3 linked regions of the Xenopus tropicalis genome follow. The protein of the gene in region 2 purifies or fractionates together with the protein of the main gene of each other region. This does not show direct contact. Links are inferred from orthologs where the notes say so. Each region holds a gene or a part of one and is shown on either strand. Other genes may lie near its edges. The genes, in order: asap1, arhgap12 and tjp2.

Region 1 (3,660 bases), about 120 Mb from region 2:
TTGAGTTATGTAGGTTTTTGCTCGGCAGCTCTCTAGTTTAGAATTTCAGCAGCTATCTGGTTGCTATGGTCCAATTTCACCTAACAACCAGGCAGTGGTTTGAAAGAGAGGCTGGAATATGAATAGAGGAGGGCCTATATAGAAAGAGAAGTAATACAAAGTAACAATGACAAAAAAATTGTAGCCTCACAGAGCAAACGTTTTTTGGACGCCAGGGGTCAGTGACCTCCATTTGAAAGGTGGAAAGAGTCAGAAGAAGGCAAATAATTAAAAAACCATCAAAAATAAAAAATTTGCACCGAATCTAGCATTCAGTTCTTGATTTGGCCAAGATTCTGGCTTTTTCAGATATTCGTCTGAATCCAAAAAATACTGGATTTGGTGCATCCCTATGAAAAATGAAGGGGTCGCAGTATTATGTGACGTTATCAAGCTTCCCTGTGTGACCCTTTCGGTTGTACCCATCTACATAATACTAAGTAAGCTGAGCATAAACAACCCACTTAGTGCATGTGTAATACCACAAAGCTACATACCCGGTGACCCACAATCACAGCAAACTTCATTTCCAGGCGTTTTCTGTACATCGTCTATAATGGCCTTAGTCAGATCCTCCAGGCTGCTCTCGCCAGTGCTCTGGTCTCCCCGGAAAGCCATATTGAGTGCATCTTCTTTGCTATTTGTCAGAACTGATATCCACCTGTTACAGAAGAACACACTGTTATGTTAATATTAGAACAGGGTACAGATGAAACTTTATGAAAAAAACTCTAAGTAACTTTTTTAAATTACATTTTTTGAATTATTAAATCCAGCTATTGAATTATTACTATTATAATATCTTGGATGCTGTCTGGTTGCTATGGTCTGATTTAACCTAGCAACCAGGCAGTTGTTTGACAGAAATATGAATAGAGGGACTACATGTTTTCAGGCTACTGTGTTGTACTGGAAGGTACAGTACTGCTTGGTAACAGCAAGCAAGAATGGTAACGTTCCCATAATAACCCAGTATGGCAGCTCTCATGTACAGACTGCCAAGGCCAAAGGATGCTACTCGGTCCTCATTCTCCTAGACCTTTCCTCTGCTTTTGATACTGTCGACCATTCTATTCTTATGCAAACTCTCTATTCTCTGGGTATCCGGGATCAGGCAGCATCCTGGTTCTCTTCCTATCTCTCTAACCGCTCCTTCTCTGTCGCTCTTACTAACAAATCCTCTACCCCGGTTCCGCTTAGTGTGGGGGTGCCTCAGGGCTCTGTGCTTGGTCCCCTGCTGTTCTCCCTGTACACTCTCTCTCTAGGAGACCTTATTTCTTCTTTAGGTCTTAAATACCACCTATATGCAGATGACATCCAGATATACTTAGACCCCCCTGCACTAACTGCTGATGTCCAAACCCAGATTGGTAACTGCCTCCTGGCTATCTCCTCCTGGATGAACCGACGCCAGCTCAAACTTAACCTAGCTAAAACAGAGCTCATGGTCTTCCCACCCAAACCTGGCCCTCCTCCTCCTTTCACCATTACTATTGATGGCATGACCATCAACCCTGTAAATTCTGCACGCTGCCTTGGGGTTATCTTTGACCAGTCCCTCTCCTTCTCTAACCATATTAATAACACTGCCAAAACCTGCCGCTTTTTCCTCCGCAATATTGCCAAGATACGCCCCTTTCTTTCACAAGCAACAGCTAAAACACTAATACATGCCCTTATCCTTTCCCGCTTAGATAACTGCAATCTCCTACTAACCGGCCTCCCAGACTCCCACCTCTCTCCCCTGCAATCAATCTTAAACTCTGTTGCCAGGATCCTCCTGCTCTCTCCTAAGAGGGATCCTGCTCGGCCTCAATTAAGCTCATTAGCATGGCTGCCTGTCAAGCAAAGGATAGCTTACAAAATCCTTCTGCTGACATTCAAAGCCCTTCACTCCTCTGCTCCTCACTACATTACTTCACTGGTCTCCCTACATGTTCCTGGTCGTCTCCTCCTCTCCGCTCGTCAGAGCCTCCGTCTTTTTACACCATCCACACCCACTGCGCTCTCTCAGCTTAAACCTTTCTATCTCGCTGCTCCTTACCTCTGGAACTCTATCCCTGAATCCCTCCGTAGGGAAAACTCACCCACTCTCTTTAAGAAAAAACTCAGCTGTTACCTTCTGGAGCACTAAAACATTATTTTGCCCAGTCCTGCGCTTAAGGGCAAATGCCCATACCTGATGCACTCTTACCTTCCAGTTTGTGCCTGTATGTTACCCAACCACTCAGATTGTAAGCTCTACGGGGCAGGGACCTCCTTCCTACTGTGTCTCATACCACATGGCACTTATATATATATATATATATGTTTACATATATGTATTTATTGTATTTATTTATTATATCACTTGTCCTCCCTGTGTGTAATTTTGTATTCTGTAAGACTGTACAGCGCTGCGTACCCTTGTGGCGCTTTATAAATAAAGTTATACATACATACATACAATAAGACTGGGTAATTATAGGGGTAATTATATCTTAGTTGGGATCAAGTACAGGTACTGTTTTATTATTACAGAGAAAAGGGAATCATTTAACCATTAAATAAACCCAATAGGGCTGTTCTGCCCCCAATAAGGGGTAATTATATCTTAGTTGGGATAAAGTACAGGTACTGTTTTATTATTATCCGTAATTCGGAACTTTCTGGATAATGGGTTTCCAGATAAGGGATCTGATACCTGTATAACATGAGAGGAAAGTGGTGGCACTAATCTGTGGGGATGGTACAATGACCCCTCGGTTGAGCCTACGAGCAATAAACAGGCACATTCAGCTTTGGGGTGGCTGAGATTTAGGTATTGACCATGAAATGACTATACCCCGAGGAATGCAAAACACGTTCCTGCATTAAATAAATGCCTATTGCTGCATTCCTTTCATGATAACACAATGAAAATAAATGGTATTTTATGACTCACTGAAACTCCCTTTATACTGTGTAAACTAAATAAATTGTACTTTATGACTCAATGAAACTCCCTTTATACTGTGTAAACTCCAATTCTCAAGGAGACATTACAGCACCTCTGTGACTATGAACTGAAACTCCCTGCACCCCTATCTGCCTGGGATGCACATGTAAGTCTTTCACTTACGCAATGTATTCTTGTTCGTCCTCTGCTTGGAAGTGGTATGTTCTGTTGTCTGCAAAGGAAAACAAGATAAAAAAAAATAATATATAAGTACCAATTGGTAAAGCAGAGACATTTATTATGAAATTTGTAAGAATGAAATATAAGCAAACTAAAAAACAAACAAACTGTGAGATAAATTAGATGAAGATATAATTAGGTATTTTAAAATAACCAAAGATACGTTCCTTTGCCTCATTAAAGGGAACCTGTCACAAAGTCAAAATTAAACATAAAACCCAAATCCTTTTTTTAATTAAATCATCCATACCTGTTATAAATGTATTTAAAAATCTGAGCTGTCAGTCATATATTGCAATATACGATTGACAGCTCAGATTTTTAATTACAATTTAAACCGACTCGGCAGCTTATCTGCCACTGTATGGGACCCTCTAACAGGCCTCATCGACCAATATCTGCCAAAAGATTGGCCAGATGTCTATTGGACAGATGAGATTTTCATGCGGATCAGGGACCGCATT
Region 2 (2,665 bases):
TTCAAGGGCCTTAATAAATGAAAATTATAATGTTTATACTTTATAAGTCTGTGGAGCATTTCAGCAGACTTTGCGCCATAAAAATCCTCCAGAGGGGCATATCTGTCCCAGGGGCTTCTAGTTGAACTATTGTAATAAAACTGGTGGCAACATGTTTATCTACCCTTGCTTGCTGTCCGCTTCCATTTAATTATCAAAATAAAAAGCACTCGTACTGTATTGTATGATCACATACCTGCCTAATGTTGTCTTCTTGGATTACATTCTAGATGAGAAACTGGACTTGAATGACAGCAAATGGGAAGATATTCACGTCATTACAGGGGCCCTGAAGATGTTCTTTAGAGAACTACCTGAGCCGCTCTTCACCTTCAGCCACTTCAATGACTTTGTGAATGCCATTAGTAAGTGTCCACTTAATGTTGCTGGCATATAACCTCTGTTATACACGTCTGAGCTGCAATTTCTAATCTATTTTGTGTTTTTGTGCCACGGAGAGTGGTGCCGTTGAGTGTTTATTGAGGGCAAGACCCAGAAATGAGTACATAATGCATGTATGAATGGTTCTGGCAGTGGCAGTACTTTCCCACTTGAGGGCACTGCCTGTTAAAGTATAAGACCTATGCATACACAATTCATAGAAGGCAACTTCTTTTCCAGAACAAGAGCCCAAGCTGCGTGTGCAAGCAATCAAAGACTTGATTAAACAGTTGCCAAAGCCAAACCATGACACTATGCAGGCACTTTTCAAGCATCTCAAGAAGTAAGTGTCTTGTTCAATTTAGTAAACATATATATTTCTAAATATCAGTCTATATAATGCTGTACTTACACAGCACACAGCCGATGTTATATCTATCTATTTATCTCCGTAATGGTCATTGCCCTTCAGTGGATTTTATATTGATGCATTTGTCTGCTTTAATTTTAAATTACAGTCCATTTGGGCTGCAGTCGTATTGGTCAGGTACCAAGCAGCAGCATTGGACTGAAGGGTCTGGGGCCCACCAAGGCTATCACCTTAGGGGCCCCTCCACCCCAGTCAAGAACCATCCCCCCCTCCTCCCCCCAGTGTGGCCTGCAGTGCTGCACTTCATTTGCTGGCCCCCTGCTGTCAGTGAGCTGTAAAATTGGGAATGGAGGGTAGGAGCTCTTGTGCCTGCATGTTCTTTTTCCTACACAACCTTTCTTACTGCTCCTTTTCTCACTGAAGTCTAAGTCCTGGTAGAGCCGCACAGGGATTGGATGGGTGACGTTTGAATTCCCCCCCCCCCCCCCAGCCTTTCTAATCCCCATGCGGCTTTATTGGGACTTGTTAGAGAAAAGAACATGCAGACACTCACCGTCCTCACTTCTGAAATCTGCAGCTCCCTGACAGGCAGGGGGGCCTAGTTAGCAGCACGGCCAGGTCCCCCTAACACTCAAAAACCCACCAGACCCGGGACTGTGAGAAGTAATTTTCTCTATGCTTTGGCCTCTGTAGGGTTGTTGAAACTGGAGAAAAAAACAGAATGACTTATCAAAGTTTAGCAATAGTTTTTGGACCAACCCTGCTGAAACCGGAATCAGAGACTGGTAATATCGCCATCCACACAGTATACCAGAACCAGATAGTGGAACTCATCCTACTGGAATGCAACTCTATTTTTGGCCGCTGAGTCCAATGGTGAACGACAAGCAGGAAGCAACCACTGATAGGCCATATCCTTGGGAAGGATCCAGCTGTGCCGTTTCATTTCTCATCTCTGAATTTTATTTTGTGGACCAATGAGCTGATGGGAAACTTTTTTTTTTTGTCTCCTGCACTTTTTTTTTTTTAAGATGGTGACTGTGTCTCATTTGTACATATTTTTAACCTGTTGCCAGGTTATTGTATTTGGACGGTTTTTTTTTTTTTACTGTGTGTGCGCACATGATAATTCCCTAGCAGGACTGCAAACCTAATGTAGACACTGGATTTACTGGAAACAAAATAAAGCTACTAATTTCATTCTGTACAAACGGACTTCTACTCACTCTTGGAAGCCGAGCTTGGTTCGCTGTGTGGTAACAGATGATGTTCATTTCATTTTTGTTCATGCCTCTAAACAAACTCCTCGTGCAGTAAAATCCATCTGACATTATACTTTGTTGGTTGAGTTAATGATAACCCTTCTTGGTTGACTTGCTTAGACCAGGACCACATGGGCGGCTAGGTCACCCAGCATCATAACCAGCTCTGTCTGGGAGCTACATTGCATTAGCTACTGGGGCACGAATGGGGCACCCCATAAGGGCTCATAGCTATTGACTGTACCACTCAATATAGCAAAACAGTCAACACTCATCTGAATAATGTCCAGCAAGAATGGGCATTAGCAGTTCAGCCAATAAGAATGGCTTAGACAGTGGCACTTCCAGTGTTGTCCAGAGATTACCTTGGATAACACTTGCCCACAGCCGTAGGGCAACTCAAGAGAAGCTCAGGAACGATTCATAGTGATTGACTATCCAACCAAATATAGAAGTACTTTTGTAACTCATAAGGATAATGTCCAGCAACAGTGTACATTGCCAGTTTAGCCAATGAGTATGGCCCTTCCAGTGTTGTCTAGATAGTGTCTTGAATGACACTTGTCTGCCCACAGCCATAGGGCAACCCAATAGGAAGGAAGGCTTCTAGCAA
Region 3 (3,660 bases), on a different chromosome or scaffold from region 2:
GTTTGTTTGGGAATATTGGCTTATATTTCCCCAGCATTATATGAATGAGCAGACTGAGAAAAGCTCACAGAAGGCAGTCTAACTCTGTTTACACATTTTCTGAATGTTGAGTATTTTCAGTTTAGCATAAGGAATAACTCCAATGTCTGTATAATGAAAACATTTCCACATATCTCCAACGTGTCAACAAAAATTGAGATGTATACTACCATGTTACATGTGATTTCCTGATATATACGCAGTCTATAAGACTTTACAGTATCAGCCCACACATAAGTAGTCTGTTCCATTAATCACCTCTGCAGTGAAGTCCAAAGTGTAGTCTGCAGTATTTTCACAACTCTGTATCTCTGTATTTTGAAGGCTGGGAATAATATCCACGCTTTGATTGGTCAGCCAGCTGACGCCGATATTCTTCTTCCTCCTCATCGCTCCCATAACTCGCTCTGTTATCTTGGTAGGTTCTGGAAGGTGGTTTTTGAGGCTCTGGTGGGCGAGAACTATATATGGAATAAAAAAATTGAAAATAATTTAATAAGGTTTTTTTCTTGATACCACATCACATGCAATATGGACTAGTGTAGTTTGACCTACAACAACTAATTTCCTGTGGTGTTACTCAGGTACTCATACATTTAGCAGCAGCACTAACAAAATATCAAATATGCTTTAAACTACAAGAAAACATTAAAGACTACTTGGAACTCCTTTATCACATCATTACTATATAGTGTTTTTATATTTTCTATCTAAGCAACACTTATTATCTATTACAGATATCCATATTATACATCTTTCTATCATATCCAACCATCTGCTATACAAATAAAGGTTAAAGTGGTAACTTGACATGCCTCAACTTCCTGAATACCTCAGCTGGACTGCCATTAAGTACCATACAACCTAGAAAATGTTTCTGCTATCTATTATAATTAGTCATTCTTTAGATTCCTGCATTCTTGCTCTTATTAAAGGCGATGCCCACCAAAGTGATATTAGTAAATGTAATTACAATTAAACTCCCCCCAGGTACAAAAGCCCCCCTAACTGCCCTGCATCGACCCTCCTCTCCTCTGCAGTCTCTCATTGCCTATAACTTTGAAAAAAGACCCTATAGAGAAACCCAAGCTTAAAAAGGCAGAACAGCACAGCAGCATACCTGGGCGCCATCTTCAGTTTATTAGAAAATGTTTTGGGTCTTACTGCCGACATGAACCCTACAGAAGCATGCACAGTGGGGGCTAACCGGGAATCGGCCCTAACCTTGCATGCTCAAGCGTGTCGGTAGTGTGACCAGAAACATTTTCTAATGAATGGAAGATGGCGCCTAGGTACACTGCTGCACTGCTCTGCTGGTTTAGCTTGGTTTTTTTTTTTATAGGGCCACTTTTTAAACTTATAGGCTATGCAAAAAGGGTGAGGTGAGGAGGGTCGATGCAGGGCTGTTAAGAGGGATGTTGTACCTGGAGGGGGGGGGGGGTGGCGGCATAGTTCTTCTTTAAGATTAGCCTACCCAATCAACACCTAGATGATTTTCAGCCAGATATCGATCAGGGAGGCCCATCAGGGGGTCCCGTACATGGCAGATAAGCTGCCAAATTGGTCTAAAGGACATAAATCGGCAGCTTAAACCTGGCTGTGCACGACTACCTTAAGCTCTGTGACTAACCAACGCTCTGGTCAGGAGACACTTTTCCCAAGAAATGCTACTGTTACCAGAGGTAAAGACCACCATATTGGGTTTACCTTGACCTGGTATGGTGGCTTGTCAATTTTATGATCATAACTTTGTAACTAAAAACCCATTTTTCTAAAATTCCATAGATACAAATTATTTATAAAACAGGGCCAGGGAATGTGCATTGATTAAACCCCACTCTTTTGTATGTTTGTAATCTGGCAAACATACATGGCCAGATCATTTGCACTTCCATTGTACTTGTATATTTCACTATTTTACAATCCCTTCCTTTTAATATACTAACGTTTCATCAATATGCCAACAAAAAAATTTTTTTTGGGTGGACATTTTAATGATACTTCATCCCACGGCTTTCATGATTAGATTCCTCTCTGCTCTGCCACCACCCTTTGACTTAAATCCAATGCCCAACTGCCCAAAAAAAAAAAAAAAAAAAATACTGCACAAAGAGTTATGTTTGTTTGAGGGGGTGCTGGTAAAGCCAAGAGGCAGAGGTGATTTTAGAAAGTCTGATTTAAATCTGTTCTGCCTGGTTACTAGAACACCTACATTTGATGGCCTCCACACAGGCATTAATGCATCTAAGAATTAAACAAATCAATAACTAGAAACTATGGAACATGGTAGAAAAACGCTAAATCACTTCTGGTGACATGACCGAACTAGTACTGTAATACAATTGTGCTACGGTATAATGATGCAGTAAATTGAATAGAGCCACCATACTAATTTAATTTTAAAATTATATATTTTACAGTTGGGGAATTTTGGATCTTTATTCCATAATGCTCAATACATTTTTGTTAAATTAAAGAGATAATGTGCCACATTACCTACAACATAAAGTACTGCTATTCATGCACTTTAAACAAGCAGCATTATATGTGCAATTGATACATACTGCTGATAAAATGAATTAATTTGTACCTTGTCGGCTGTGGTCGATTCTGTTCATTTTTCTGTGGCTTTACTGGCACAGCATAAATATCAGGAAGTTTCTGGGCGAGCTCCAACTAAATAATAATAATAAAAGGCAATATAGTCAGTTGTATTTTTTGGTCATGGTGCAATCAAGTTATTTTAGTTGTTTTGTTCTTATCTAAACCTGGATCATTCCATAACTATTGGTCTGATTAAGTGCTGCTAAAACACATTACCTTTTTCTCTCTTTCATGTCTCTCTTCCACAGTTGTAAATTACATGGCAGCTATAAACACTATATTTGAAATACTTTAGTGTATAATACCATCAACAAAAACACGTCTCACGTACACCAGTACTTTGACGCCTTGACATGTTATGGTCGTCCCCCATAAGACCTAATTTGTAAATTACAGGAATTAACTTTAAAATATAATAGTTTTGAGAATTAGTATTTTATGCAAAAACAGAGGAGACCATCAGAGCAGCTGTTTGTGCAACGGTTATGGCAGTCTACGGGAATAAATATATTTTACCAAAGTATAATTCCAACATTTTCATTTATTATTGGTACACAGACAACATTTACAATTTGGCAAGGCAGTCACCATTTTCTAACTGAAATGGTTAGAGATATCAATGGACTGGACACTCCTGTACATTTATCGGAGGGTTGCGACAAAGTATAAATTTTGGATGCCGCAGAGATTTGGAAGAGGACAGACAGATCTAAATTATTCTGTAAAGCAAGAGACAGCAACACCATTCTACATTACAACAGCTTTCACCCACCATAAACAGTGTACCCTATTTTTTTAAACAAATTGCAATTTTTGAATAGTGGTGCATGTGAAAGTCAATTGAGAGACCTTAGAGCACACATTAAATAAAGCAAGAAATATTGCCCAAATACACAGAACAAAAGTCAAATTGAAACATTTTGTAATCACCTTGTATAATCACAACGTATAATACTGAATCTTTTACTATTAAATGGGTGGTTAATAAAAAATGAGCCATTCTGGCCAGTGACAGCA

Evidence for each region.
Region 1: the proteins of arhgap12 (region 2) and asap1 purify together in Homo sapiens (co-immunoprecipitation; 3 studies listed by BioGRID and IntAct, with this or other methods). This does not show direct contact. The link is inferred for Xenopus tropicalis from reciprocal best matches to the Homo sapiens genes ARHGAP12 and ASAP1.
Region 3: the proteins of arhgap12 (region 2) and tjp2 purify together in Homo sapiens (co-immunoprecipitation; 3 studies listed by BioGRID and IntAct, with this or other methods). This does not show direct contact. The link is inferred for Xenopus tropicalis from reciprocal best matches to the Homo sapiens genes ARHGAP12 and TJP2.

Annotation. Positions count from the first base shown.
Region 1 is NC_030682.2:142,094,753-142,098,412, forward strand, and holds part of asap1 (arf-GAP with SH3 domain, ANK repeat and PH domain-containing protein 1), read right to left. Parts: intron 3,189-3,660; coding exon 3,140-3,188; intron 701-3,139; coding exon 537-700; intron 1-536. UniProt on the Homo sapiens protein: Possesses phosphatidylinositol 4,5-bisphosphate-dependent GTPase-activating protein activity for ARF1 (ADP ribosylation factor 1) and ARF5 and a lesser activity towards ARF6.
Region 2 is NC_030682.2:23,100,506-23,103,170, forward strand, and holds the end of arhgap12 (rho GTPase-activating protein 12), read left to right. Parts: intron 1-269; coding exon 270-404; intron 405-660; coding exon 661-763; intron 764-1,483; coding exon 1,484-1,658; 3' UTR 1,659-2,123; downstream 2,124-2,665. UniProt on the Homo sapiens protein: GTPase activator for the Rho-type GTPases by converting them to an inactive GDP-bound state.
Region 3 is NC_030677.2:129,452,662-129,456,321, reverse strand, and holds part of tjp2 (tight junction protein ZO-2), read right to left. Parts: intron 2,716-3,660; coding exon 2,630-2,715; intron 501-2,629; coding exon 335-500; 3' UTR 1-334. UniProt on the Homo sapiens protein: Plays a role in tight junctions and adherens junctions. Acts as a positive regulator of RANKL-induced osteoclast differentiation, potentially via mediating downstream transcriptional activity.